2 linked regions of the Oryzias latipes genome follow. The protein of the gene in region 1 interacts with the protein of each later gene in a pairwise test. Links are inferred from orthologs where the notes say so. Each region holds a gene or a part of one and is shown on either strand. Other genes may lie near its edges. The genes, in order: mkrn2 and rack1.

Region 1 (15,331 bases):
TAGAGTTGGGTTTATAAAAGGGGCAGTTTCCAACTCCAGAGTTGTTGTTGTTTCTCTCTCGGCTTTTCCCATCAGGGGTCGCCACAGCGAACGAGTCGCATGGTAAACCTGGCAATGTTTTACGCCGGATGCCCTTCCTGACGCAACCCTCTCAAAGCAACCGGGCTTGGGACCGGCACAGAAGTTGAGAAGGGAAGGTTTCCCACTCCAGAGTAATGAGAGGAAAAGAAAATCCCACTTCACACCAAAATGGGAGTGTATGTACAGGCTGAATACAAAACCTTTTTGTTTTCTATTTCTTTATGAACTCTTCTCGACAGCTTGCTGTTTTGATTTTATTAGTGTTTCACCTTTCAACACTGGAGCTTTAGCTCCGGTGTTTGTTGATTCCCCTTTGAATTACAGTAACTCTTTGACCATTCAGAATGTCAGAATTCCAACAGATTCTGACACTGAAGCTGATTCTTTGCAACACTTTTCAGTAATGAAGTGCTGCATATCAGCACAAAGCTGCTTTTCTCAATAATTCCGTAAACGATTGAAGAGTTAGAATAAGTCAAAGAGCATGTTATTTCCTGTTGTCTGTGACACCTCTGGTTTTAAAGAACTTGTGCCATTTTTGACTGGGAAGAGCATACTCCAGTCAACTTGGCAGACCCATTTCACCTCTATTTTGGTGTTTTGAATTTGGGTGACATCAGAGATTATCTGTCCATTTAGTAAATGTCTATGGATGAAACAAGCACTTCACCTGCATGGTCTCTTGGCCTCAGGCTCCGCCTCAGATTCCCTTCCCAGACTTTTTGTGTTGTCACAAACTCCATCCTCAGTCTTTGCCCCCTCAGCCTCCCTCAGTTCACTCTTCACATCCTCTATCTCCAATTTCTGCGTTAGTTTGTGAAATATTTGATCCACAGCCTCTGCAGACATTCCCTGAGCACACAGACTTGCCTTTGCCCATCCAAGTAGTTCCTCATACCTGTAAAAGACTGAAATGTAAGGCAGGAAGTGATGTCATCAGCCAGACAGAACAAGATGCTGCTAACCTGGCCTGAGAGACAACGGGAAGGTACAAATCTTCGAAATCTGTAAGACAAACAAACCAGCTGACTGCACAGAGCTGTGTGGGTTAGACCAGATCAATGATGATCTCATGCAGGTGCAGGTGTAGACTCACCCTCCCATTTTTCTGAAATGCTGTGATCTGGTCTGGCTCTGGACAAGATGCCTTTTCCAAAATAACCCTGAAAAATCAAACCTAGTTAGATAAAACTGAAGTAAATCTCCTTAGTTTTTACTTGGTTCTTTCCATCACTGCTAGTCCTTGTAGTCAGAGGCATAGAGCAGCAATAGTGTCACCATAGGACCAAGGTGGGAAAGAAGACAATAATGAAAACACAAACTGACATGTTTCTTCCCGTTTTAAGAGCTTTCCATCCAGGAAACTAAAGGGTTTACATTCAGTTTGATTTGATCAGTTTTGATTTATTGATCATTATCATTTGGCATGATGATGAAGTCCTCTCGTTGATTATTTATTATGGTAAAAGAAAGACGGGATGCAATAGATTGTTTTCATCAGAGAAATACAAAATTTACGCCCAGCTTTAACAGTTATCTGAGTCCAGCACATTTAACTGTTGCTGCAGATGCACCTATAATGTATCAGTGCGACGGCATTAAACGAACAAAAATAGTATTCATGTAATTAAGGCATTCTAAACTAAATCCTATAATCTACACTGGATCTTTTCAGTAACATTTTGCAGGATTGCTTTGCTGTCAGTGAGTCGGAACTGGCAACCCTGACCTGGTTGTGTATCTTCCTGACATGGTCGGGGTGGCAGACAAGCACGTGCTGGTTGATGAGCTCAGCCCGGTACACGCACTTCTCCCCGGCACTACGGATGACCGGCAGCGGAGCCTCCAGTTCTTCGTAAACACGCGCGCGCCGCCGGGGAGCGCGGAAGTCGGCCTGCATTGCTGTGGACCCGTTACTAAACGGCTGACCTCTTTGTGGGATTCTGACCTGGAAATTTGTGTACTGTTTTCTGAACCAGAATAAATGTGGGTTTTGCCGTGCACGTGGGTCCTCTCTAATCAAACTGGTCCTTTCGAATTTTTTTCTCTGTAGTTACTCATACTTTTACAAAATTGCTCAAGAGAGCCACCTATTGGCATGGAGGTAAACTACAATCCACCTTTAAAGCGACATACAAACAGTCCATGATTCCCTAAAGTTTGCTTGTCTACAATAATGACTATGAATGAAATTGAAAGGAAACTATACAGGTTTCCTAGTTGGTTTTATTTAGTTTTTACCACAAACTAATTTAAAAACAACAATAAATGCTCCACTGAACATGGGATAAGTGTAATACATCACACCAAACTGAAACAAAAATATTCATTTCCAGAATTTGTCAAAAATGTAAAATTATTACTAGTTCCATCCTCTATGTTACACATTAATAAACCAGCAGAGGTCAGACAATTTTGCACATCCTTCAAGAAAATTTTACTGTGCCTTAATAAATGCCTCATGAAATCTTTTAAATCAGCCATGTGTTTGCTTGAACTTGTATTTTGTCATTTCTGCTCATGTTTGTGTATACATGTCTTTATCTCCTGTGTTGTTTTGTCAGACATAAAAATGAGCAGAAAAATCCTGCTCATTTTCAATAAACCGAAAGGTGAACAACAATACAAGATAAATGTTTAAATATTGTGCAAAATAAAATTAAAAAAACAAGAAAAAACAAAACAAAACAAAAGGCAAAATGATCTTTAGCAACAATAAAACCACTCTGAGGAATCCCTCCACACTTACTGTATCTGCACAGTTCTGATACATGTTTGTTTTGTTATTGCTTCATTGAACGAATAAATAAAACAGACATCCATCAACATTTAGTTTTAAACACCAATAAAAAAGAAACATGTTGGAGAAAAAAAAAAAATCCCAATTATGTTTACGACTTTATGTTTTATGTCGGGGTGTCGTCTCTGCAGATGGAGACAAACTGGGTGAAAATCTTCTGGTTTAAGAAGTGCGTTTTAAAAGAATAAAGTTTATGTACTGAATGGTTTATGAGCCAGTTTTGATTTGTTCTGATCCGTACTGCTGCTGGAAAGCAATATATCATTCAGAACTTGTGTCAGTGTGACCGCTAAGGGTGTATTCAGATTCAAATCCTTTGTTCTTGTTGGGAAAACAGTATAAGAAGCAATGTGTGTCACGTTGAAAAGTGTTTTAATGAGCCTGCATACATCCAACCAAATTTCAATGAGTGCTGTGTCTCATTGTTCTGGTTTCATGGCATAGTTTTAAAGTAAATTCTGTTAAGGAATTACAAGGTATTTTTTATGGTGACGTTACAGCACCGCCGGGTGCATGCCGCGTAACCACACAGAAAAGCATGTAAGACGCATTTTCAGCTGAGTTAAAACAAACGTAACAAGTAAACAGTTGGACTCTTTTTTTCCCTCTTTGATAACATGACAATCATTGCTTCACATTTCTTCGCAGCTCATCGGTTCCTTCATTCCTACTCTGTTTACGTCAGCTATGGGGGCTGTTTTGGTTCAGTTGTTCCGCTCAGAGGACGGATTGTATTCAGACTGAGGAATCCCAGAGCAAACCAAAGCTTGGTCCGATTGGAAATGAACCAAGACCCCCTCCAAAGATGGGTCAGAGAGCGGTGTCTGGTCCTGGACCAGGGTCCACCTGGGTGTATTCAGACTGAAAATTTGTTCCGGATTATCCAGGAATGAAATCTGGTTCACTTAAAACAAACCAAATGTGTCCAGTCTGAATTCACCCTTAGTCTAGTGGGTCTGTTTTCATTGGGTCAAAGGTCAGGCCACTTTAGCTACTGGGTTCTGCTGCCTGCGGTCGGTCCACCATGTAGAACTGGTGTTTCTCGATGTGTTGGACCAGTGTGGTATATTTTGACACCCTCTTCATCCTTGGCAAGATGAAGCAGCGAGTGAAATCCTCTTTGCTCAGGGAGCTGCAACCCTCCACTGTCAGGACGGTATTTAGAAACTGCAGGCAGAAGCTGAAGCAGTTGTGGTCGTCTTCATGGAATCTGGAAGACAAAGGTGGGTAGGGGCTTTGACTGGCATCACCTGTGTTGACTGTGTCACCTGTGAGTTACCTGTGCCACACAGGGTCCCACATGGGTCCCTCTGAGAAGCGCTCCAAGTACTGATCCCACTGAGCCAACAGGTGGAACATGTCTGGTCGGACCAAAGGGATGTTGATGCAGCGCTCCCAGCCTCTCTGTTCTTTCTGCACCCCATTCTGGGTGTAGTTGTACACCACTCCTGCACACAGGTACCCAAAGGTGAGCTGCAGGCATGAGGGACAGCTTCCAAAACAATTTAACTGTGCTCTTGTCTTCACAGCAGCCAGCAGAATTCCAGAGAAGAGAAGTTGGACTCCCCAAAAACAAGTTTTACCTTTTGTATTGGAGATCCCAGTGTGCAGATCTGAAGTCCCATTGAAGTCGCTATATAACACACAGTAGGATGAACTGGTTATATACATGTGTCAGATTGGTTCTGTTAGATGGGGCTGTATGTTTTTCCAGTCTTGTCCTCACCATTTCTGTGGTTTCCGCAGTGGGGATGTAGATCAGAAGGGCTGACACATCATAGCAGACCACGGTGTCATCTGTGTTACTTGATACCAACTTGATATAATGCACCTTGCTAACAAAGCTCTGGATGCTGGGGTGTAAGGTGTTGTCCAGCAATGAAGTTGAAAGGATTGTGAGGTGTTTGGTGATGTTGTAGGTGGGTTACAGTACACACATTTATTTTTGCCCATTTGATAGATGAAATCCAGTTAGTAAACCAAGTGCAAGAAGCTTTTGTTTCAAAACTTGCTGCCTTTTTTACACATACAAACATTTAAAGAAAGTAACCCCTAAACAGACTCAATGAAAACAGGTGTGTTGAAACAAATACTGAAAAGGATAATGGGGAAATGGGTTAGCCTACAACAGGGGAATGGAGAGGGTTCTTTTCTTATAAACAGTATGTTTGTGTGTATGACATGGTTTTCGAATCGGCTGCATGATTTGTGTCTTTTTTGTTGAAAAATATTGTATATAAACCCCCCCCCCACACAAAATATAGCATCTATTTAAAAGGAGATTTAAACTCCTTTTTCACAGTGAGAGTTAAGGAAACACAGCCACACGTACAAGTGGTTCTTCACAACTCCAACCTTGTCTTCAAATCTTTAAAAAGAAACAAAAAACCTTGTATCCTCCCTTGTGCTCATACAGCATTGGTAAATGTTAGTGTTGGTCTTTACCAGTTGAGCTCTGACTCACGGACAGTCACCTTAGTAAGGTCTGCCTTTTTAATCTTAAGCAGGTGTGCAGGTGACATCTGAACCTCCGGTGGCTCAGGTTGCACCTTGGCATGTCTTAGAATCTGCTAAAGCAAAATACTTGCAACCAGTTTCACTTCTTCCGCTCCTATCCCTCCTATCGAATGATGTTTAAAGGCTAGTTTCCGAGCAGGTCTCTGATTTCTGATCTTGATCCAGATCGTTCTGGTTTCTGCATTGAGACGCCAACGTCTTCACTTACCTGAGTTCTCTGCACAGTCTGACACAATAAACCACATCCTTTACTCGCTGACATGGATATTCAAGTCTAAAAAACGGAGCTTATCTGAGCCAAGCATCACTGAACTTCATTTTATAGAGTCAATGGGGATACTGGTTCCCCAAGGCTGAATTTTGGGACATTGTGTCTATTAACACACAATCCTTTTCCTAAGGTTTAGTCATCAACTCTTGTTGTTTTTTTTGTTTTATATTATCACAGATGATGACTACTGGACCTAGGAAGTGGCCTGTCTTTATTTGTCTTCCACACCAATCCCACATGTTTCTGTCTAAACTGCTTCTGAATGACCCTCTGGGTAAACACATCAGTTCTCTGTATGCTTCTTTATTCATGATCGCTCTTACCTGGTGTGGTTGTCATGTGCAGGTGCAATCAGGAGGCAGCAGGAGCTCTTGTGGCCATTGGTAAAGGGGGAGGGCAGGCTGACCGGTGCCTCCTGCAGTCTGCTCCCCCTCAGCTCATCACCGCAGCTCGGGCACTGTTCCGGAACAGAGAAGCAGAAGATGTCCTTCTGGCAGTGACTCAGTCGGATCACACTGGGCTCCATCTCCTCTCCTTTTTCTTCTCGACTCAACTGCTTCTGTCAGACTCATCTACCCTCAGCTCTTTTTGCCCCCACCCTTGACTCCCAATTCTTTCTTCCTTACTTGGCTCCTCCCCCTCACACAGTTGCTTGGTCACAGCCTTTCATACGATAGCTTTGTACCTGGCTCCAGCCAATCAGGTGCCAAACTACTATAAAACGGTCATGTGATCTGCCCCACCTGTGTCTGTTTACCTCTGAACATTGACCTTTGGAATGTGTGCCTATTGTTGTCATGGAAACCAACAGTGTTGGTCTGGAGGAAAGTGTCTGACAAAATAGGATGTCAACTGAGAAAACAAATGAAACTAATACAAAAAAATCTGAAAAGTCTGAACTAGGTTTTAAAATGTGTACGTTTACATTAAAACTTTCTTTTTGTTTTTATCTGTGGAGGAGCTACATCTCCTAATGGTGCAGAGTCATGATTAAAGATTGAATTATTAAAACAATTTTCAGGTAAATTTTAAAATGAAAACCTGTATGAGTAGTAGAACAGAGATGTGACTGGTCAGTGGACACTTTTTCCATCTCACAAGAGATCTGATCTGACAGCTCAGGTGAGTCTGAGACAGACTTTCTTTTGTGGACAAATGTCACAGAATCTCCCCAGGAAGGTTTCAGGAAGGTAGTTTATGCTGAAACCAAAATGACCAATTTTACTGAATTTGTTATTTATTTATTTTTTTAACACTGGAACTTGCTTATAAAAAAAGAGAGAAGAAAAATAATATAATAGCAGCACCATCCTCATCTTCTATGTTTGAACCAGAAATAGGCTATGTTTGAAAAATATTTCTGAAGGAATAGTCAAGACATATTAAACGTTTTTTTTTATGGATGAAAGATGTCATAAAAAATTAACTTGAAAAAGAAGAAACAGTTTTTATTCAAAACTATGCTTCAAATTAGACCCTTACCATCTTGTCCCACAGCTAAAATGTAAGTATGATGGAGTCAGTGTCCTTGTCAGAGCACACATTGTTTAATCTCACCAGATAATAAACATATAAGACTTTGATGAAAGTAGTATGCAATCGGGTTGCATTTAGTTGTTTTATTTTTGCTATCACAGAAAAAAGCTTCCCTGTGCAACCCCATTCCTAATGTCACAAGAAACACAGTTGGTATGGAAATAATCAAGCACACATGCAAAAACTTCTGCAACAAAGTGATCTCTGTCTGTCAAAAAGGATTTCCTGTTTTTCCCACAAGATCATAAAGGCAGCATTTGTTCCTCAAATAGGACTTAAATAGCAAGATAGCAGGAAAAATGAAGATGAAAAAAAAAGAGAAATTATTCAGTTTAGTCATTATCTGTTAAAAATACTATAGTCCCGTGAGCAAAAGTTGTTTAACTAAACACAGATATCCATTAAATTTCAAATGCAACATATGCTACACATGGATCATTTTTAGCTAAACAGAGCATCTATTTGGCCACAAAACTCCTCTCTCTTCTTGTCATTATTCTGGTCAGCAAGAAACATCAGAAACAATAAAATAGGACAGGGCATAATAAGCAGTAATAGACAAAAAGTGTTTTTCTGACTCCAAATGCCACTGATCTCACGGAAATTGACAAGATAAGAAAAAAGGTTTTGTTGAGCATATTTTGGTCTTCTTTATTGTCCATCGTATTTTTTGTCTCTCTGAATGACTCTGTCACACGATGACATCATTTTCATGGTCAGGTCGTCCACATGGGGTGCTGATGCTCCATGGCAGCCGGAACTGACCTTCGTTGTCTGCTGCTCCCTATCGGAGTGTTTAGAAGGGAACACCAAACACAACTCCGACTGCAAAGTCTGAAGACCGCGAGGAAGATGAGCACCAGACAGGTGACATGTAGGTAAGTGTGCGGTTCTCTGCCCGTCTGTCGGTCACTCGTCCGTTCGGCTTGCTGTCCGGACCTGACTCAGGGTACTGCGCACGCGCTTTCTTCTTCGTGCTAATGTTTTTAGCTGTTAGCTCCGAGGTTCGAACTAGTTTGGACTCACCTGGTTGGTTGACCTGATAAAAATCAGAGGAGCGCCACAGCTCAAGTGGGAGGACACTTCACGAATCTATTGGTGATGATGATGCCAGTTTTTGTGTGGTTTTAGGGTGAGGCTCACGCGTTACCATAGCAACGGTCAGCAGGTGAGGCGCTGCCTTCTGGATGTTCAAATGTATACATCAATGGTCCATTATTATTTATGACTACAGGGAATGAATCCCCCAATATTTAACGAAAGTCCAAAAATATTTAGGTAAACTCAAGGAAGAAATGAGTTTACCAGACTGAAAAAGTGAAAATCCTGTTACATTTTATAAATAACATGTTTCTGATTTGTGAAAACGGAAAAAAGTGTAATTTCATTGCTCACAGTATCATTCCTATGAGACAAAGCGAGACACATTTTAATCTGTAACCACATTTTTTGTAAACTCTTAAACTTTACATAGAATTGATTTTCAATAGAACCTTATTTGTTGTTGGTCACCTTTTGGCATATCCCCCCAGGGGTCGCCACAGTGAATCAGCCTTCGCTGAATCAAACAGGTGTTTTGGCCGACTTTTTACGCTGGAAGCCCTTCCTGACGCAGCTTACCCTGCCTGACATAGCTTTTAATTGCAAAAAAATCATCCCCACAGGTGTAAAATAGAAATATATTTATCTTTTATGGAGACGATTATTGCAAACAAACAATATGAATGTTTACTTTTAATATATGGCACAAAATAAACACTCTTAAAACAACACTGGAAAAAAAAAAACTCATGCCGGTTGATCCTGAAAGTAATCATAGTTGCTTTCACAGAGCAAAAGACAAAGCAAAACATTAATTGGGTGAATAAGCAATAATATAAAGACAGTGAGAAAGACAAGGATACATCTGATTTTTAGCTAAATACAGTATACTTTCAAGAATAAAAAGACAAACTGCTTGGTTTGATCTGATCGCTTTTTTCAGAAACTCAAATTGTTCTGACAGATGTATAGAGAAAAGCAGATGTTATTTGCATGTGTTTACATGCGACCAAGCGCAAAAAATGATGGAAGATGCACATGCATTGCCTGCACGTATTATTAGTGCGTCGTAGGCTAAATGCTGTTGTTGGTTGCACGTATTAACCTGACCCTAATCGTAAAACTTCTTGAGAGAGCAAAAGAATAGAGGATCAAAAAGATGGAGAAGAAGACGATTCATCGCTATGGTTACTTGCTGCTAAACTAAACATGTCAGCAGGGTTCATTGTTGTTTTTTGTTGCAGATATTTTATCCATGGTGTATGCAGAGAGGGCAGCAGGTGTCTGTTTTCTCATGACTTAACCAACAGTAAACCCTCCACCATCTGCAAGTTCTACCAGAGAGGAGTTTGTGCCTATGGGGAGCGCTGCAGGTGAGACCGCACCCACCTGTTTCTTCTAAAAAGTTTTGTTCAGCCGGCAAGCCAAAGATCGTCTTCGGGACACAAGCACAATTTGTGTGTTTTATTTTTAGGTATGATCACATCAAACCTTCATCCAGAGGGGGGAGTACTTCAGAGGAGACCCCCAGTGGAAGCAGAGCTGGCCGAGGAGAAGGGAGGAGGGCGCTTGTCTTGAGGGACAGAGGTGGGGTGCCAGCTGCTTTGCCCTAAAACACGAACAGATGAACTCAGGGTGCAGACATCTTCCTCACCTCAAATGCCACCTCTTCCTGCAGCTCTGGGTCCTGATGGTGCGTTTGGAGGCTCAGCAGACGGTCTAGATTTCTTGGCAGCAGCGGCAGCTCCACAGTCTTACGTGGATGCTATCAGAACTGGGCTTGACACCTCCACACAGGATCAAGGTGAGGCACAAACACACTCATTTGTTTGGCTGGTGGTTTTGTGCAATGCCATCAGTAACAGATTTTTTCCTGTGTTTTTAGCGTCTCAGCCGACAATGGCTAATGCTTTGCGAGAGTTCGCCCCTCTGTGCCCATATGCCGCAAATGGACATTGCTTTTATGAAGATACTTGTACATATCTCCATGGCGACCAGTGTGATGTGTGTGGACTGCAGGCGCTACATCCCTATGACCCTGAGCAGAGGAGAGCACACGAGAAGGTGTGCATGTTAGTTTTTGTTTTTCTTCATCCTGTCTGACTGTCTGTTTTGAAACTGCTTCATTTTTTGTTCCTGTCTGCAGACATGTCTCCTTGCATTTGAGGCTGACATGGAAAAAGCCTTTGCAGCTCAGCTTAGCCAGGACAAGGTGGGTGCACTCAGTCCCAGAAATGGTTTCTGTGATGGTGGCAGCCCTGACCCTCGCTGTTTTTATCCAGGTGTGCTCGATCTGCATGGAGGTGGTGGTACAGAAGGCGAATCCGTCAGACCGGAGGTTCGGCATCTTGTCCTCCTGCTGTCACGTCTTCTGCCTGGGTTGCATCCGACAGTGGCGCTGCACCAGAAGCTTCTGTAACAAGATCATAAAGTGAGAATGGCATGCAGGTTTCAGGAAAGGGTCTGGGGTCGTCTGTTATGATTCTGATTCACAGTAAAACCGAGAAAATATATTCTACTTTACAATGTACAGTATTTATTTGTGAAACCTATAGATCCAAATCATTTCAAAGTAGATTCAGTTAAATTTTGTTTTATAAATGATAGTCCACAATTGTTTTAACAATTTGATTAAAAAAAGTCAAACTTGTTTCATTATAACAAAATAAAATTGCTTTTAAATTTTAATTTTGACCTGAACAGTATATGATTGTAAAATCATGATTATATGAATCTAAACTGAACTGGAAAGAAAATTGAGAATAACATTCAGCCCGCTATTCTACCAAGGTTCTAAAGAATTCTAATCAAATATTTAGTGTCTTTATTATTGAAAATGTTTCACCTTTTAACAAAAAAAATCTCATGTTTATGTCTATAGTTTTTAGGGGCACATTCACACTGGCAGGTGATTCGCACCAGGCTTCATTTCATCCCATGTTCCTCTTGGTTTAGCAGATTTAAAAGCTCCCCCAAACTTTAGTGTGACTCAAACAGGTAAACCCTTTTTCTCTTTAGAAAAAAAGACCCTAGTTTGCCCGAGTGTGAATGATCCACTGACAAAAAACAAACATGAGCCAAAGTTAGGAGTTGTCAGAAGTGCTGACAAATTAAAAAAAAAATCATAACAGCTTAAATATTGAGAAAATGCAGAAATCATGAGTACGTTAGACAACTTCTGCTCTGTAAGTAGGGTGTAGCTAGGAGATACAGGTATGAATTAATACATTATTGTTTGGGGGCTATCCAGTTTTCTTATTTTTGCTTCCTTTAATTTCCAGTTTGATTACTGACCTCAAACGAGCAGCTCTTGGAACTGCAGATTTTTTTCATGCATTTAGTCTGCTTCTCTCTTAATTTTTCTTTACCAAGTGTGCCATGTGAATGTAAACTAAGTTAAATTGGTTGAAACTTTATTGCATTACCTGCACATCTGAACCAAGGTGAGAGGGTATATCCTTGTGTGAAAGAAACACACTTTTTAAAGTTTGAAGTTCAAAAAAATCTAAAATAATGAAAAAACCCTGAGAACATTTATGTTAGCATGCTAAGTCCACCAGGCGCTACACCAGCTACAGCTACAACGACGAAGTCTGTTGTGCCATCTTCAGAAGCAGATACATTAGTTCAAGTTGACTTTGATGAGAAGCCCACTCATTGGACTTACTAGTTGTCATGTTGTCATGATTGTGTCTGTTTGAATCTTTTACGTTTAGCTGGTACTAGACTGGTAGCATGGTCCTAGATCTGAGGCTGGAGTTCAGGAGGCGATTTGATTAGTTGGGTCTTACAACTTTTCAACTTTGACAGAAGTATGGTTGCCCAGTCTTAGTTATTTACAACTACCACCTTGCTTGTTACCCACTTCTTCCTGCTTCACTCACTGCTAAATACTCTTTTCGAATGTGTTTGATCAGTCATAACTTGGAAGTATCAACACAAGTGTATCCTACAGTTTCAACCAGCTGACATACTGTAGCTACATCTTCAAACATGGCCCATCATCAGGTTTCTGTTGCATCAGTGGTTTGATGTGATCTTGACCTATTCTGATGGGTTCTGGGTCTCATTCAAGTTGTCGATCTAAGTAAAGTCTTGGTTCTAAATAATCACTCATAGCTTCATCAGCCTTTCAGAACTGCAGGGTGTATTGAAGTCTTGAGAGGTTTGCATGTTTTGACCATTGCTTCACTCTGCACATTAGATCTTGTCCAGAATGTCGGGTGGTCTCAGAGTTTGTAATTCCTTCGGTGTACTGGGTGGAAGACCAAGACGAGAAGGATCACCTAATAGAGCTCTTCAAGTCCGGTGTCAGGTAAGCTTCTTGCCTGTGCCACGCTCACTTCATGTAAGCCATTGATCTTTGATGACTGTGTCTTTGCAGCAAAAAGGCCTGTAAGTACTTTGATCAGGGCCGCGGCTCGTGTCCCTTTGGGGGAAAGTGCTTGTATCTTCACGCCTTCCCAGACGGAACCCGAGCAGAACCGGATCGGCCTCGGAAACAGCTGAGCTCTGAAGGGAACATCCGGGTAACAAGCTGCTCCTGTGTGCTCTTAGCTTCTGGGGTTTGTAGTCTATTAATGTAGCTTTGGTTCCTTGTGTTTAGTTCATGAATAACGTCCGCCTTTGGGATTTCATCGAAGAGCGCGAACAGCATTCAGGCCCACCTTTGCCCCCCATGGATGATGACATCGCTGAGCTGCAAGAGCTTTTCATGCAGATGTCAGGGCCAGGCCAGGAGGGACCAGACCCTCCAGCCCCGTCACACCAGTAAAGGCTGCCTTTCCTTGTCACCATGGAAACCTGTGGCACATCAGGACTAATGCTTTAAAAAATTAGGCTGTGTGAGCTTGTTTATGACATAAAATGTTTTATGTATTGTACTTACAAGTTAACACAGAATCATTGTGCCGTGGGACTTTGGTGTGAAATTTATACATTTATTCCCATGCCTGAGTGAAAGCTGTACCTGCAACAAGTGCAGTGAGCACAACCATGCTGTAGCCACCTGTTTATGAATTTATCCTTCAGACTGCATTGATGTTCACTTGAGTAGCTCCTTACTGCCCCTTGTGGCTCTAGAAGAAACATTAGCAGCTGTTCCACCATCTGGCCACATAGGATAGTGATGAATCTGAATGTGAATATCTGAAAAGATTGAGATATACCTGAACAACAATACATTATCATAAACTGGCTTTCTATTGGCACCAGCCATTTGCTGGGTCAAGGCAAAAACCACTCCATACCTGTTTGGTCAACAGGAGCTGTAAACTGGAACCAGAAGGTAGTTTATGTTTGGTAGGAGAGGGGCACCTTTTTTCATGCACAATTTTAGTTGAAAATTAGATTATTTTAGCTTCACAAACCTCCAGCATATCCTGAAGTCTTTAAACTATATTTTGATATTTGATCTGATGAGAAGAACCAGAACCATGTGGGCAGGTTTTCATGTCAGAAATATTAACTTCTGGACAGAGATTTGGAATGATTCTAGAATGTGGTGGGACATCTCAAATTCAGGGTCAGATTCCCAGTTTCTTCATTGCATTGTTACCGTTGCAGTTAGCATCTTTTCTCCTCCCTTTGTCAGATTCGATTTGTTTTTCTCTGATTGCACCAGACAAACGCATCATGCTCCCTGACATGAGATCTACTGTTTATTGTCAATTATGTTTTAGGACATGAAGCTAAAGAACCTTTTAGAGGATAATAAAAGAAAAAAATCATCAGTTATAGAACATTTTAAGAACCATGTTGATTTATTTGTGGTTCACCATCTGTACTTTCAAGCTTATTTACCCACAATTTAATGGTGTATTTTTAAATATAGCTCCTGTTTGAACAACCTGACTGCCGAAACTGTAAAAAGAAATGGAATGTACCTTTTCACCGTCACTGTTCATCTTCCTTGTGCTCATTCTGCAAAGTCTGCAGCAATAAAAGTTTTTCAGAGTCCTTAAAATGGACTTAGGAGGAAAAAAAAGGGAATTTAAAATGTGGGACATGTACTATTCAGGTTCTCCTAAACATGGGGATAAAACAAATCTGTAAATGCAGGTCAGCTATAGAGTTACACCCCAGTCTGGAGAATTTTAAATGTATGTAACATGATGGAAAGAAAAACAAATTAAATGCCTCAACGGTTCAAAAACTCTCACAATAATCCCAGGAATAAAAATTATTAGTAATAAATATACCAAAAAAAGAAAAAAGAACGAACTATTTAGCCTATATAAACTGTATAGAAAAACCAGTTCTCTGTTCTTTTGCTGCTTGCTGGGGGTGTGTTCCAACATTTGCACGTTGCCTTCGCAGATCTTTACCCAATCAGGTGCTCCAGACAATTAAGGAAAAATCGACCAAGAGAAATAGACAGACAGCCTCCCACTCCTACAGAAAATAATAAATAAACGGAGACAGAAAATGCCATCAAGAAAAAAGAATGGACTCATATATAGTCATTGACTGGTTTGTTTGACAACCCTCCATTTATTGTTTCATGATTGACCTCAATCAAATAAAACCTTCATGCCAACCTGTTTAGTTTTTGAAGTTTGAAAAGTTCATTTCGGAGTTCAGTTGTTCTCAAGCAATTGAGAAGAATCAAAGTAAGCAGCTGACAATGACATTAACATGTCACCCACCGCTACAACAAATGAACACAAACTGTCATTTGGAAATAACACGACATCACACAACCTTTATTTCCACCCATTTATAACAAGATTTTCCTTTAACTTCCCTCCACATGCAGACCATCCATCCATCCATCCATCCATCCATCCATCCATCCATCCATCCATCCATCCATCCATCCATCCATCCATCCATCCATCCATCCATCCATCCATCCATCCATCCATCCATCTTCTAAACTCACTTTATCTCTTTAAAATGCCACTGAGGTTTGTGAAGGAGGATTGTGTTTTACTGACGGGATGCTTTTGAGACTTTGCTATAAAGCAAACATAAACTTAGCAATTAAACAGGATTGTTCTTTGTTTACTGCCTTTTGGAAAGTAGCAGGAGAATAACTTTTAACTCTGATGTTTTCTACCTTTTATGTTTTTAAGAAGCTTAAC
Region 2 (15,026 bases), on another chromosome or scaffold:
ACTTCTGAGGAATCCACTAGTAGACAAACCGATCCATGTCCATCTTCATTGCCCTCGTCTGAGCTGCTATCTGGCTCAAAACTGTGCGGCTGGATAGCTCCGTTTTTAATGCACCTCTAATGTCAGGATAGGGGTGTGAGGGACTGTAAACCATCAGGAGAGACTACATAGATGGATGATGGGGGTCTGGGGAGGACTTATTCCAAGCCAATGGTGAGGTGAATTTCTAACGCTTTGCAGGAACAATGTCCTAGAAAATGACAGTTTTATTTATTTTATTTTGGCTAAAAACGGCTTAATTATACCTCTGGAAACAAGTGGGACTTTAACTTCCAGACTTGAGAAACATTACATGATGGCTGTGTCCGAATTCCCACCCTAATCATGAACTATTCAAAAACTATATAGTGTGGGACTATGTAGTGCCCTGGATTTTAGAAGCAATTCAGACAACATGCCCACTATTTTTCCTTAACCAGAGAATATGACGTAATTGAATTCAACAAGTGAAAATCGTTTTGCAACGACCATTTATGAATCCACTGAGTTATGAAGATGAGAAAGTTGATGGTTTATTAAAAAAAAGCACATTTAAATACATTTTTAATTGCAAAAATTGTACAGACAATGCAGTGTGGTCTATATTCGCCAATCTAGTGAGCATCAATGCACACTGGTTTTTTGCAGACTTCTGGGAAATCTTTAGGGCACAATTTTGGATTTGCAGATTCAGACAGCAGTACAAAATGGCGAACACGCTATAAAGTGAGTAGTGAAAGAATTCTGACATAGTTGACACCTTATCACACACGACCCCCGCTATAAGAAGGGTGAACTATGACCTTGATACTGACTATCCGAGCTAAATAATAAAAGATTTTAATAATAAAAAAAAAAGTTATACTATTCTCTGTCAAATAACTCCTTGGTGTTGAAACCTCCTAATGGATCCAATGTACCTGTTCCTGCATAAACACCAGCAGTGTACATGCTGTTCCAGAGGTCTGTTGACCCAGTCACGTGGAGGTGGGAGGTGGAACTGCTATACTCTAAAGAACCGCATGATTCAATACTATTACAGTCTGGCCAACATGAAATTTGCACATTTGAAACCCATATTCGTCTGATTAAGTTTCAGGTGAAGCGCCCATCCCCCACTCAGATCCATACATGGCGCCAACAAAAGGCCGGCGGAACAAAGAAGCACTGCCAGCCACCTAGCTTGTCAAGCGATGCCTGCTGGGAGAACTTTGTTCTTGTGCATGTTTCCCACTCACCCCGCATCTTCTTCGCCTTTGCTCGCGTCGATCTGGCCTCCTTCGTTGCCGCCGTTCTGCGAGCTCCCATCCTCGGCGTCCCCGCTTTGGTCGCACTGGTTCTCGGCGCCGCCGTCTTCCCCCTCGCCGACTAGGCCGGCTCCATTAAAATCATCGTCGAGCTCGTGCCCGTTTTCCGACGTCTCCATGTACTGCTGCTCCGCTTCTTCAGACATTTTTCGTACTATGACACCTACACCCGAGGAAACGATAGAAACATGCCTGTTAATGTCGGCGTCTGTCGTGATTCTGTTCGCCATTACCCCATTACGAATTCACGCTTTTCCCACCATTTTGACCAGCAGATTGGCATTTCATACATTCCAGTTTAAACCGGGTTTATAGCACCAAAAACTCATCTTTTTTACAACATCATCATGGCGGCGACTATCGCCAATCAAGAGTTGTTCTGCCGGGCGTAGAGATTAGCGACGTTGTAGCCATCTCACATCGATAAACCCGGACTGTGCAAATTAAATTCGCAGTTACGTAAGTCAGAGGCCACGCAGCCCTGAAAATTATTAAAATCATGAAATATCGTTCTTCTGTAATCAATATAATGAGAACCGTTTAAAACACAAACAAAGAATGCAGGTAAAATTGCGATTGCGTCGAGTTATGATGAAAAAAAAAATTATAACAGTCTACTTACAAGCCTAGCAGCCGGAGAGCTCTCTTCAAAATGGATTCTCCCACGCGACGAGAAACTCATGGTTGGTTTTCTGGAACCGGCAGGGGGAAAAAATTGACATTTTTCCAAAGAAGCTTTCTGATTGGACAAGGCCGACTGTCAATCACAAATCAACCTATCACACCAGAGTTAATCTCTCTCCTCTATTTTTTTAACACCACTCGTTTCCGCCCCGCAGACGAGGGGAAGGAGTTTAAAAAAAGAAGTGCGGCGTTCACTGATATCAGTTAAATGAATGATCATTACAACGCCCATGTATCCCCTTTCTTTAATTTTATCTTAATCTTTTTTATTTAAGTTTGTATTTTTCTGTATTATTGTTTTTTTTTTACTTAACTTTATTAAGGTTGTTTACATTTTTCTATGCCTGTTGTAATTGTAATTTGATGAACACTTTATACGACGGCGACAATGTTGTAAACATCAAGTGTTTTTTCTACTTAAAAAATGACGCTTCCGTAGCGAGATTAACGATCGAAAATCTTCCGTTTTCACAAGTTTCGACGCAACTCAAATGCAGCACATTCATCTAGTCAATTCTTAAAAAATATAAAAGCTTTCAGTATGTTAGAAAAAACACTCGAATACAATTTAGAACAAAACTTAGTTGATAATGTCACAAAACAAACTTAATGCACAAACACAGCTGAAAGTTGTGTGTTTATTCATAGAAAGTGGTACATAAATTGAATACATCTGGAACTTCCTGAGTCTTTTATTTTGATATCATCCAAGAGTTAGAAATATGTTTGAGGCTGATTCGGATTGTTTTGCAGCAGCCAGTCAGCAAGCCAAATCTGTAAATAAAAACAAATAAATAAATAATTAAATAACAGGAAAATGCTACTAATCAATAAAAAGAAAAATCTGCATAGAGTAAACTAACAACAGGATTGAGGGGCTTTTCTTTACAAAGCTCTGTGAGTCCACGAAGCAAAACCGGCTTCAGACACCTGCTCAGGTATTCCTTGGTTTCATGCTTTGAAGGGGAAGGCTCAATGAAAGCTACAGAGAGAAACAGGAAACATCTATTAAGTCATATAAAATTATACATTAAATACGAAGAGAATGGTGACAATTGGTAGAAAAGAAATTCAGTCTAGTTGTGAGTGAAGGATTAAAACAAGTTTACATGTTTTTGTATTTGTTGTAGTAGCCCTATAGACAACAAAATGTGTAAAAAAGAAACAACAGCTTACAGTTTGGGAACATGAATTTAATCTCCCTCACAGCTTCTTGAAAGGACTCACTGCCGTGAAGAGCATTTTTCAGGTCAGAAGTTCCATATTTCGCTCTAAGACTGGAGAAAATCAGCCATATCATCAGACTAAAGATCTAGATCAGGGGTCTGCAACCTTTTAAGCTACAAGAGTCACTTGGTCTAATTTTCTACTGAGAAAAACACAGTAGAAGCCGCAAAGTCCCACTTCACAAGTTTGGAAAAATTCCTTATTCATGCTTTTGTGGCCATTCATTCACAACATGGAGCTTTATAGCATCGACAATAACTGAATTAAAGTGAAAAATATATATGACATAGTTTTAATCAATTGTTTAATCACATCTATTTTACTTTTAAGAACTGCACAACAATTTCATTTTCAAAATAAAATACAAACATCTGCTAAAGCAGATTTAAAGTTAGCAGATTTACAGAATTAAAAGGGCTAATAAAATTGCAAATCAAACATGGCATGTTTTACAAATATGTCTTTGGTGCACAGTCTTGCTTTTTTACCTTTTACAATACTATCAAATATATTAATGACATCATTATTTCTAGATCCATACATGTAAACACAATTATTTACTTTGAATACTTTGCTTCTGAACAGCAACTAGACACTGTGGTACAGCAGAAGATTGGAAAATGTGCTTTATCTGCATCAGTATGGGCATCTGAGATAAAAATCTAAGCATAACTGACAACTTAACGAGAGAAAAAAAAGAACCAAAACCACAAAAGCATGATATATTACAATCGTATGCTTTTTTTCTTGAAAGCCAAAGAGCCACAATTGAGGGATAATAGAGCTGCATGTAGCTCTGGAACCTCAGGTTGCAGACCTCTGATCCAGATATTCTTCATTGACATGTCATAGTAAAATTTATTCTATTATGAATGTAATGAAATGAAAAATCTACACTGATAAATACAAATGTACTCCTCTGTTACGGTATAAACACAAATAAACATGAAACAGACCACTCTGGCTGACTTTCTTTGGCGTTTGTGATGCTGGCAGGACCAATGATGGACTTCCAGCGTGTGACAGCATCCTCACAAGCCAGCACCATGGCAACGATCGGGCCGGAGCTCATGTAAGCCATCAAGCTCGGAAAGAAAGGTTTTCCGCTGCAGTCTGAGTAGAAGTCACTGCACTGCTCTTGACTCAGCTGCAGCCTTCGCTTCTAACAGGATTGGAGAACGGACAGCAGAACCATGGCAGGAGAGATGACTATTTAAACTTGACAGAAAGGTTTTTTTCAAACACGTATGTCCTCATGATTTTCAAACATCCTACATGAATTAACAGCTAGAGTAGGCTGTTCAAAACTGACGTTTACCTGCAGTTATAATGAAACCACTAACCTTTTTTTGCTCTGAAAGCTAGAAGATCTTGTAGGTTAATACATTACTGTTCCTTCACGTGACTGAGAAATTTTATTTGTACCATCCTTAAAAAAAACTTCTTGTCTTCTGCATCTCTAACCCTTGTGCCATCCTACATTTCATGGACACCAGTGAAGATTGCAAATCATTGAAGAAAAAAGGTTCAGCGCACTGTATTGTGGGGTCTAGATGACCCAACTCCCAATGTTTAAGAGCCTAGGATAGCACAAGGGCTAATTGTGTCAGAAATGACTTTAGCTCGCTCACCGAATTGTTTGGATTAGCGCCCTCAAGTGGCCAAATGATCTCACTGCTCATTTGGCCACTGTGTGTGAGTTCTTGTTACATTTTGGAAAAATAAACAGTTTCTACACAGCATTTTATTTATACTTCTAGCAACAACAAAAAAAACCTTTATTTTTATTGTTAATAAACTTCACATGGCAGTAGACATGTGTCCACTGCGTTAATTAAACGTTGGTCACACAGAAAACTACTCCTTCTAAACGTAAATAGTCTCAGTTCTCAGACGTGTAGGTTTGCGCATCAGTGATTTACTAACCTGCAGGATTGTGAGGCCCGACTGAAGGATGAAACCTTCGATCTTCTCGGCTTTTTCATAGATATCTGGCTTTATGATCGCCAGTGTTCGTTCTACACGAATTTGATCGCCTAAATGCGTAAGTTCCATCTCTGTCTCACGCAAAGTAAAACTGATTTTTATAGGAACGACAAGAAGTCCTCCTCGTCCCACCAATTCAATACCCCTGCGCTGTTTTGGTTGCTACGCTACCATTTCACAAGTACGGGAGCTGAGGAGGGACAAACTTCTTTTATTTCCTACTTGCCACGTGAGAAGCCTTTAAGAATGAAAACTAAGGGTGTAATGATAGATTTTAGCAATAATTCGATATTTATGGTTGCTGATTCATATCGATTCAGTTTGAATGATCCGATTCACTGACCTAAAATGGATCCAGGAGATCTTTAGCCAAAACTTCAGTGTGACTCGGATAAATACCTGGTACCTTGTATTTCCTACAAGATAAGTTTAAATTGTGTACAAAAAAACTAGTAAACAAGAATTAATGTCAAATCCATTCACATTTTAGTTTCATAAAGTTGAGCCCACTGTTTTTCCACATCAACCTAATCCAAAGAGAACATTCTACCACACTGGATGGTCACATCTTTGCAAAATTAAGTATTTCTGCACATTGGAGTGGAATGATCAGTTTTTGCTGCAACCCATGCTTCAATCCAAAAGGCAGTTTCCAGTATTGATTAATTTCATTTCTAAACGATTTTATAATGGTCTGGGGTGTTTTGATTAACTTGCCACATGCATCAATCTGGATGGATCATAGGAATATAAATCAATTCAAATGTTTCACTCCTACAATTAACTTTATTCATGATTCAATGTAGACCTCAACATTTCAAACTTAAATTTGTTAACTAGCTTTTTAAATGATCTTGCATCAATATTATAAGTAAAACTTTGATTATGAGCAGTCTTCTAAAATGACAAACTCAATCTGCGTGAAAGTAAAATATTTAAAGTTAAGACCAACACACAACTTTTCAAACAGTCTTTTTATTTAAAGTCGATGCAGCGATGGATTCTTATCGGGTTCCAATGGTGACCTGCCACACTCTGATCAGGTTATCGGTGTAACCAGCAAACAGGGTCTGCAAGCAAATGAAGGATGGAAGTTACTGATCACAAAAACCATTAAATACATTGATTATAGCCTTGATTTTTGTCCTTTCCCCTCATATTTGCAGGACTGTCAGCAGTCAAAATCAGAGCTAATAGTGAATGGGTATAATCACTGGGGGTTAGAAGGACAGACTAGCTTTAGCAACAGCCCCATCTTGTACTTATGTCAAGAGGAGCTGAATACCTGTCCATCAGCAGACCATGCCAGAGAGGTGCACTGTGGGGGCTCGGCTTTGCTGTTTGTGCTGATCACTTCCTGTCTCAGCTCATCCACAATGATTTTCCCTTCCAGATCCTGCACACAGAATAAACATTTACCGTATGACTAAAACAACTCAAAATAACAGGCAATGTACAGAAATGACTGAAGCTAATTAGTCTGGAGCTCAGAAACAGCCTCTGTTATCATCAAGCAATACAGTTAGCATTTTCAAGTTTCATCAAGGCCCATCAAACCACATTCAGCAGTAGTTCCACATCATCACGTAGGAGCTCTCACCCAGATCTTGATGCTAGGGCCAGTGGCGGCACAAAGCCAGTAGCGGTTGGGGCTGAAGCAAAGGGCATTGATGACATCGCCGCTGTCCAGGGTGTACAGGTGCTTGCCCTCGTTCAGATCCCAAAGCATAGCCTGGCCGTCCTGATTGAGAGAACATTAACAAGAAAATAAGCCATGACCACACAGCAGCTCTGTTCTGGATCTTCATTTAGCGTGGCTTTACGACTCAGTGTCACTCAGAAACAGCCTCTTTTGTCATCAATTGTTTACCAACAGAATGATGTGTTATTTATCCATCACAGTTGACACCTGGAGGTCGGCCTTTGTGTGCCATCACTAAAAATCTTCACAAGTATACGAGTCGAGTTCTCCAACTGAACCAGCTTACCTTTCCACCGGATGCACACAAGGAGCCGTCAGGAGATACGGTCACCGTGTTCAGGTAGCCAGTGTGGCCGATGTGGTTAGTCTTCAGCTTGCAGTTCGCCAGGTTCCACACCTATAGAAACAGCAGCAGACAGTGACCGTCAAGTTTACACTGACATGAAAAGACCAGATAAAACTGTGGAGACGTGCTCTCATCCACAAAGCTTCTCATCAGAAACCAGGTCAGGTAATACATGCAAACTTCTTTAAAATCATGGAGCATATTTTTCTATTGTTTTTAAATCAATCTAATGGCAAATGAAGGGAAGCGGAAGTACAAACCTTGACCATCTTGTCCCAGCCGCAGGAGACAATAATGGGGTTGCTGCTGTTTGGAGAAAAGCGAACACAAGACACCCACTCAGTATGGCCTTCATCCTGCAAAATCAAACACATACGGTTTTACAGGAATCTATTTGATTACAGGTCAATGCTTATGTGATTTTTTAAAATAAATTTACAAAATTTACAAGCACGAGATTATCAGTAAAGCCTTTCTTTTTGAAGGTTAGCGACTTAATTTGCTTAACTTCATGATCTGACCGTCATGTCAACTCTTCACAGGAGTTCAAAGTCAATAAAATCCTGCAGCACGGATAAGGACGTCATAAGATCTACAAAGAGGCAGCATTATCCGGCAGCTCACCTGAATGGTGTACTTGCAAACGCCGAGAGTGTTCCACAGCTTGATGGTCTTGTCCCGAGAGCCAGACACGATCTGGCGGTTATCAGCAGAGAAGGCCACGCTCAAAACATCCTTGGTGTGTCCAACAAATTGGCGGGTGGTGAGCCCTCTGAAAAATGGCACATTTACCTATTAGCAAGAGGCTTTCAATAAAAAAAAAAAAAAACATGAAGAGGACGCCTGTCATCACACCACAGCTAAGAAATACACTCCACAACAGACGGACCAAGAAAGGAACATCAATAAAGGTTTGCCTTTAGAAAGCTGTGAAACTATCAAATGTAAACAAAAAAAGGTAAAGGCTAGAGACAATAGTACATTAAAACAAGTCAGTTCAATCCCATAAAATATAAACAGGATAGATCTCCATCAAAATGACTAAACATACAAGTTGAGAGAATTTGGCATTTAAAGATGATGTGAGGTGGAATGAATTAAAAACAATGAATTTAGGTTGACTGGACGTTTCATGACTTGTGAGGCTCCTAGAAACAACTAAAGCTGTAAACTGGTGCTTAAAAAACTGAAATGACTGGACTGGATGCAGGTAAACCTCATTTTAAAAAGAAACATGCTAAATTGATTTCCAAATCTCTCAATAGCAAAACAACAAAACTAATCTGAAATCTAAGGTATTTATATGCATCATGGAATGTAATCAGTAAATGTACTCGTCTTCTTTTGATAGTCTTTAGTACATATGTGTTAGGCATCTTTTCAAAATACATCCCATTTTCTCCACAAATGAATGGCTGGCTGGCAGCTGCTTCACATAAATGATTAAAATCATGCTGCCACCAACCACTAAAGAGATGCTTCCTGCCCTTCACTTACGTGGTGAGGTCCCACAGGCGGAGGGTTCCATCCCAGGCTCCTGACAGGGCAAACTGTCCATCAGAGGAAATCACAACATCACTTACAAAGTGAGAGTGGCCCTTCAGGGAGCGCTGGGGGATGCCATAGTTGGTCTCATCACGGGTCAGTTTCCACATGATGATAGATTTGTCTGAAAGCAAGAGATACTTTAGATAAACACATTCAAACCACTTTTATATTTATTCAGATACATTTTTTTTTTCAAAATAAAATGTGCATCAATAAGAAAAGTGCTTCAGTTACAACTAAGTTTTTTTGAGGTAGCAGCTGCCACATATTATGCTATGTCACAGGAAGCTAGCTTACCTCTTTGCTAACATGTCTACAAATGTTCATTTTGCATCACTTTATATACGGTAAAAACCTCCGTAGTTGTTTATTAAATCTAGCTGGTTTCATTTACTCACGCAACAAATTCAAAGTTACAGCATTTTGAACGCAAGCAGCTGAGAGCTAACGTTAGCCATGTTGGCGGTGCCGGCGGGGCGAAGCCTCACCTCGGGACGCCGACAGAATCATGTCGGGGTATTGAGGTGTAGTGGCGATCTGTGTGACCCATCCACTATGCCCCTTCAGGGTCCCCCTTACTGTCATCTGCTCAGTCATTTTGGGGAGGTTCGGTGGTGCCTTTTACAAGGATGGATTCGGATTTTAGACAGGTTCAGCCGAACCTAGCTCCTCATCGCATCTAGGCACAGAGGAAAAGGAAATACGACCCCGGATGCAGAAACTATGAAAGGTCGCGCAAAGGATTCTGGGACGGGTGGACTTGACTACACCGCAGTAGTCTGCTTTACGCCATTGATGTATGCACCTCTTAGCTTGTTTTTCAATTAAAAGTTCTCTTAAAGAAAGGGGAAAAAAATCCCAATAGTTATCTTTATTACGTACGGAAGAAGATTAGGACCACGGAGAAAGGGAAATTCTCACTTTATCTCAGAATTCAAACCTTTTCTATCTCAATAATGTCAGATTTCTGACTTTATTCAGAATTCTAAATTATCCAGTCAGAGTTCTAGACTTTTTTTTACGACTTCTGGCTTTTTTCTTCGGATTCTAACCCCCTCCCCCCATTTTAACCTAATTAATTAATCTAATTGGTCTAATTTAAACTTTTTTTACTCTGTGCTGTTTAAAATAATCTCAGATTTCTGACTCTTTTTTTACTTCGATTGTCATTGTGTTGTCAGAGCAAAGTGTTTGGACAGCCACAGCCACATCCACTTATGGCAGCAAAGGAGTGGCAACGTAAAAAGCATTTCAAGATGAACTTTTGTTTCTGATCAAATACCGTACTCTTTTTCTGTGCCCGTTTAACCCTTGTGCTATCCTATGACCCCCACCCTTACATTGACGTGTTATTCCTACCATGAAAAAAGTGGATAAAGGTGGAAAGATTTCATGTAATCCATGGACACCAGTGAAGATCACAAATCATTGAAGAAAAAAGGTTCAGTGAACTGTGGGTCTAGATGACCCAACTCCCAACGTTAAAGTGCCTAGGATAGCACAAGGGTTATACAAACACATTTTTAAAAATCATACAATGTGATCAGCTAGATTTTTTTAACATGTTGTCGTCTTTCAAAGTTGAATAGTATCTATGATGAACATTACTGACCTGTCATTTTAAAAGTGCGACATCTTGAAGAATCAGTGACTGCCAAATGCTTTTTTTGTTACTGTGCTGTACTTCCATTCATTATATTACAGATTGTTTTTTTTATTCGAAAATAATCAATTTTGCATTACTGCGATGTTACTTTATTTTGATCATGCAGAAGCAGAGGAGACAAATATACGACAAAGAATTCTATATTTGAATGAGGTGTAAGGCAGTTTGTATGATGATCCATCTTTTTGGAATTGTTTTTTTAATTCAAGCACACAAAACAAAAGAAAGCAGAAACAAAAGAAGCCAAATAGCTAGGATCTGTTCGTGATGCCAGAATTTTTAGGGAGTCATAATTGTGCCCCAAATTTCACCAGGGTATAATTTACCTTCATTTTTTATACAATGTCATGCATTTAATGTTATGTAAATTATACACTTTAACTGCCATTATAGGACATTTCAGTGGTTACTTGCTGGGGGACAGGGGGTATCCTTGTCTGCCATATCTGATGACCCCCTACCCTGATCCTCAGACTCGACAACAGGCACAGTTCAACCTGACCCACAGCAGAACACGGGTCAGGGTGGAGATGACTATAGGCATCCTGAAGGCAAGATGGCAGTGCCTATGTAGGCTCAGGGTCAGCCCAGAGAGGGCATGTGACATCACAGCTGCACGTGTTGTTCTTCACTACATCCCCAGCATGATAGGTGAGAGGGCCCCGCCACCTCTTGATAAAGACGACCAAGTGAATGCTCCATTAAACCCAGCTGACCAAAGAGATGGCAGGGTGGTACGGGACATGATTTGACAAATTTATGTCAAATAACAATCAAGAGTCAAAGGCTAGTTGTTATTTCTTTATTTGCTGTAATAAAAAAGTGAATTTATTTCTTTATGCTCCATTTAACAAATAACAGATTAAATGTACACATACTGTTTTTCACCTTAAGCTGGTGCTCCAGCAATTCTATTTCAAGGCTGGTCTTTTTTAGGCATTAAGTTGTATAAGGTCCATCTAAAGGTCACATTTTCTAATTTGCCTTAGAAGATGAACTTTATACATCTCTCTGGCAGGAAACAACAGAGACAAAGTAATTCCACATAATTGGAATTAGACGTTTGCAATACAGACCAAATATTAACATGAGAAAATTGTAGCTGCAGAAATGTTCTTACACTGCCAAGAGTCATGGTGGAGGTACACTGACCCTCATCTGCATTTACATCCCCATCAATATTCTGTAAAATTTCAATGACAATATTTATCTCATTTAATAAATAAGAAAGAGGGGGGCATCATATACCTCTATGGGTCTCGCTTTGTCAATTTCTGTTACAGCAGAAGTGGTCTCTTCATTTTCATCCTGCGGTGTAAATATGTAAAGATGCTTGATCCACCAAACAGAAAACTAAAGATCCAAAGACAATAATCACTTACAAGTATGATAAAGTGTGGTGATGCAGGAGAGTCCAGTACTACAAATACACCATCAGCATCTTCAATACAATAAAACCAATAACATACTCTGTGTAGATTTTCAAACAAATACCTAATAAAGGAAAATCTGTACAAATAGACATGTTTAAGCTTATATCTACAATAAATAACACACTGAATCCATTCAATATGAAGTCTGTCCAAAAAGTTTAATTTCTTCAAAGGGAGAGGAAGTGAGTTGATGTAATCCCACTTGTTTATGTTTTTAATTGAACTTTTTACCCATAACTACAATCTGGTTCTTAACTTCTATTAAGAGTTCCTTTTCTTTTACCTGTCCAAGTCATCAATATTCATAATTTTGTTGTGTTCAGGCTCACAACACCGAGCATATTCCAGCTCTCAGGTAATGGACAACATCTTAGACATTTTTTGAATCATATTTACAGAAAGGAGCAATAAAACTCTCACCTTTTTGGCTCCTGGAGTCCAACACTTGTTTAGAATCTGATGGTGTTCTGCACAGACTTGACTTCACATTTCACATGATTTATTGATGTGAAATGATTGCAGTTATGCAGTCTGCAGAAATCCATTAGTTAGAACTGACATTGCCAACAGTGTATTCATGACTCTACATTGACACTTGTCACTGATTAACATTTAAGCAGCATTTTGCAAGTGAAATCAGTGACAGACAGCATGTCTTTTTTGACGCAGGGTTCACAAAGTATACGATTTTTTTATTTAATACAATTGAAATCCTTTTATTTATTAGTTGCAGGATTTTCTCAGCTTTGTTTGTACTCATTTTAGGTGAGATCAAAACCTTTATTTCTACTCATTCAAAGGTCTTAAAGTTTGGAGTTATTTTTCTGGTGCAGAACCTTTAAACCCCAAAGAGATTGTAAAAGATTTTTTTTTGTGTAGAAGTTTTTGATTGAGAAGAATTAACAATTCCATCACTGTTGAAAACTTCCCGTAAAAGGTGAAGCAACCTCAAATCATTATTCTTCTACCACCATGTTTGAGTGTTGCTTCAATGGTTTTTTTGGGACAAGATGTGATTGGAATCTGTCTTATGAGTCCATTAATTACTCGTAGAATGTAATGGAGATGATTCGGTGTGGTAATTTATTACCCATTATTATCAGTACCAGCTTCGTTTCCAGAAGGGTCTGGATGTTGCTGCTTATCCCAGCTACCTTAGGGCAAATGCAGGGTACATGTCGGACAGATCATGAGCGGGAAAAAATATTTTATATCCTTTTGCTACACCAAAAAGTAATAAATTACTGTAATACATTACTTATGCAAAATGTTACTATCAACACCATGGAGAGAATTTTAATTAAAAATGGATAAAACAATTTTAAACAAAGAGATCACAAGAAAGCATAAACGTAGAGCGTTTATTTCTGTTTACAACTTTGATTCACCAGATTTCATGTTACTTAATTACAAAAATAGCTTTAATCTTCAATTTACAACCTCAAACGTTCCCACCCTCCACTCCAAAAAAAAAAATCCCCCAATAAAAATCAAAACACATTCTAACAAAATCAAGCTAACTCTGTGCTATAAGATTTTCTAAATATCAAACTATAACTTGTCATGAGCTCACTTTATGAAGCAATTAAAAGGAAGGCACTGATAGAATCTGTAACAGTAATAAAACACTGTAATGTTGTGTCACAGCTAACCGCCAGCTCCCACTGAAGTAATGCCAACACTTGTTGAACCTCTTAGTCATGAGATGCATACCTCATTCAGCAAAAATACTTCATGGTTCTTAACAAATGCTTATCTTGGTTTAAAGACTGCAGCTTATGTTAAACATGCAACGTCATCAGAGAAAAACTGACATAAACTGTCGTTTATGGAATATTTCATTCCATAAACGACATACATGAAATGGATTTTAGAATTGAAAAGAGTAAAACTTTATTGATATCAAAAGGGGGAAGCTACTTTAATTATTTTATACAACAACACTGCAAGAAGCAAGTAGCAAAAATACAAAAATTGCAGCGCAACCTAAAGCTCGAGTTGTGAATCAGTGGCTACTATCATTCAATCAGTATTTTAATTTCAAATTTTCTATTGTTAAAATGTGAATTCTTTGATTGGATCCGAGCTTCAATGAAAACATATGTGCCGTCCAAGTCAAGAAGCAATCAATTGTACTGATGAGAAAAAATATCAGCTCATATCTACGAGGAATACACAAAAAATACAGTTTTTATTGCGTTGCTGTAATTGTGTGTCTGTCAGTTCTGTTTATGCATTTAAATGATTGAAAAAGTCAATGACATACACCTTTCAGCCAAAACAACGATGGATATGTTTAAGATAAACGGATGTTAAATATGAACAAACACAGTAGAACTTTTGCATGCATGTTTGGTAAAAATGTCATACGGTACTTTGGTAAGTTAGTGCTGTAATAAAATTCATGTAAAAAGGCACTACAGAAACAAACAAAACAAGTCATTTCCTTCAGTTCTGTAAAAGTATCTTCAGCTGTTGTGCATGTCTTTGAGCACCCATCTGAGTGTTTTTTATCTAAAATGACAACAGCAACAAATGCCACCCACTAGAAGAGACAAATACTGTAAGGAGCTTAAAGAATCTGCCCAAACAAAAGTAAAATGACAGAAATGTCATAGGGGGATTGTTTGATTTAAATGAACACAATCTTGCATGCATTTTTGGTTCAAACGTCAAACTTCAGCACGTTAGTCCTTCATTCCCTGGGTAAAATTCATAAGAAAATACGTTAAAAAAGCAAACGACAAACCTTTGTTTAAGCAGCAAATATTTCCGTTGCCTAAATAAACAAAAATAACCACCAAAGAACGTCCTCTGCAGGTAATACGTAATGATCGGACATCTGGTTACCAAGGCAATTCTGATTTACACAAATACTGTTCATGGTTCCTTCAATCTGGCCTTGATGTTTCAGTAAATATCAAAGAAAATGCACAGGAATGCATAAAAAATAGGAAACAGTACACAAAAAAATTAAATGTAAGGCAAATGTGAGCCATTAAATGTTTGTTAAAGACTTGTTTGTAAAGAAAGATTGCAAACTCTGTTTAAAATTTCATTTCGGGACACAGTCGATACAAGATGCTAA

Evidence for each region.
Region 2: the proteins of mkrn2 (region 1) and rack1 interact in binary tests that used the Homo sapiens proteins (3 or more experiments, as listed by UniProt). The two-hybrid records come from large-scale screens. The link is inferred for Oryzias latipes from reciprocal best matches to the Homo sapiens genes MKRN2 and RACK1.

Annotation. Positions count from the first base shown.
Region 1 is NC_019863.2:19,257,561-19,272,891, reverse strand, and holds mkrn2 (probable E3 ubiquitin-protein ligase makorin-2), read left to right. Parts: upstream 1-7,960; 5' UTR 7,961-8,057; coding exon 8,058-8,083; intron 8,084-9,490; coding exon 9,491-9,619; intron 9,620-9,720; coding exon 9,721-9,833; intron 9,834-9,924; coding exon 9,925-10,050; intron 10,051-10,131; coding exon 10,132-10,310; intron 10,311-10,392; coding exon 10,393-10,458; intron 10,459-10,528; coding exon 10,529-10,677; intron 10,678-12,450; coding exon 12,451-12,561; intron 12,562-12,630; coding exon 12,631-12,775; intron 12,776-12,852; coding exon 12,853-13,020; 3' UTR 13,021-14,788; downstream 14,789-15,331. Other genes in the region: tsen2 (tRNA-splicing endonuclease subunit Sen2), read right to left, coding at 752-979, 1,047-1,086, 1,178-1,244, 1,811-1,981; mkrn2os (MKRN2 opposite strand protein), read right to left, coding at 3,869-4,091, 4,161-4,329, 4,465-4,514, 5,993-6,195. UniProt on the Homo sapiens protein: E3 ubiquitin ligase catalyzing the covalent attachment of ubiquitin moieties onto substrate proteins.
Region 2 is NC_019868.2:17,067,944-17,082,969, reverse strand, and holds rack1 (receptor of activated protein C kinase 1), read right to left. Parts: upstream 9,554-15,026; 5' UTR 9,437-9,553; coding exon 9,328-9,436; intron 8,961-9,327; coding exon 8,789-8,960; intron 8,064-8,788; coding exon 7,916-8,063; intron 7,648-7,915; coding exon 7,552-7,647; intron 7,343-7,551; coding exon 7,232-7,342; intron 6,985-7,231; coding exon 6,844-6,984; intron 6,640-6,843; coding exon 6,529-6,639; intron 6,314-6,528; coding exon 6,248-6,313; 3' UTR 6,203-6,247; downstream 1-6,202. Other genes in the region: heterogeneous nuclear ribonucleoprotein A/B, read right to left, coding at 1,278-1,492; nme5 (nucleoside diphosphate kinase homolog 5), read right to left, coding at 2,745-2,804, 2,894-3,012, 3,207-3,307, 4,214-4,419, 5,184-5,312. UniProt on the Homo sapiens protein: Scaffolding protein involved in the recruitment, assembly and/or regulation of a variety of signaling molecules. Interacts with a wide variety of proteins and plays a role in many cellular processes.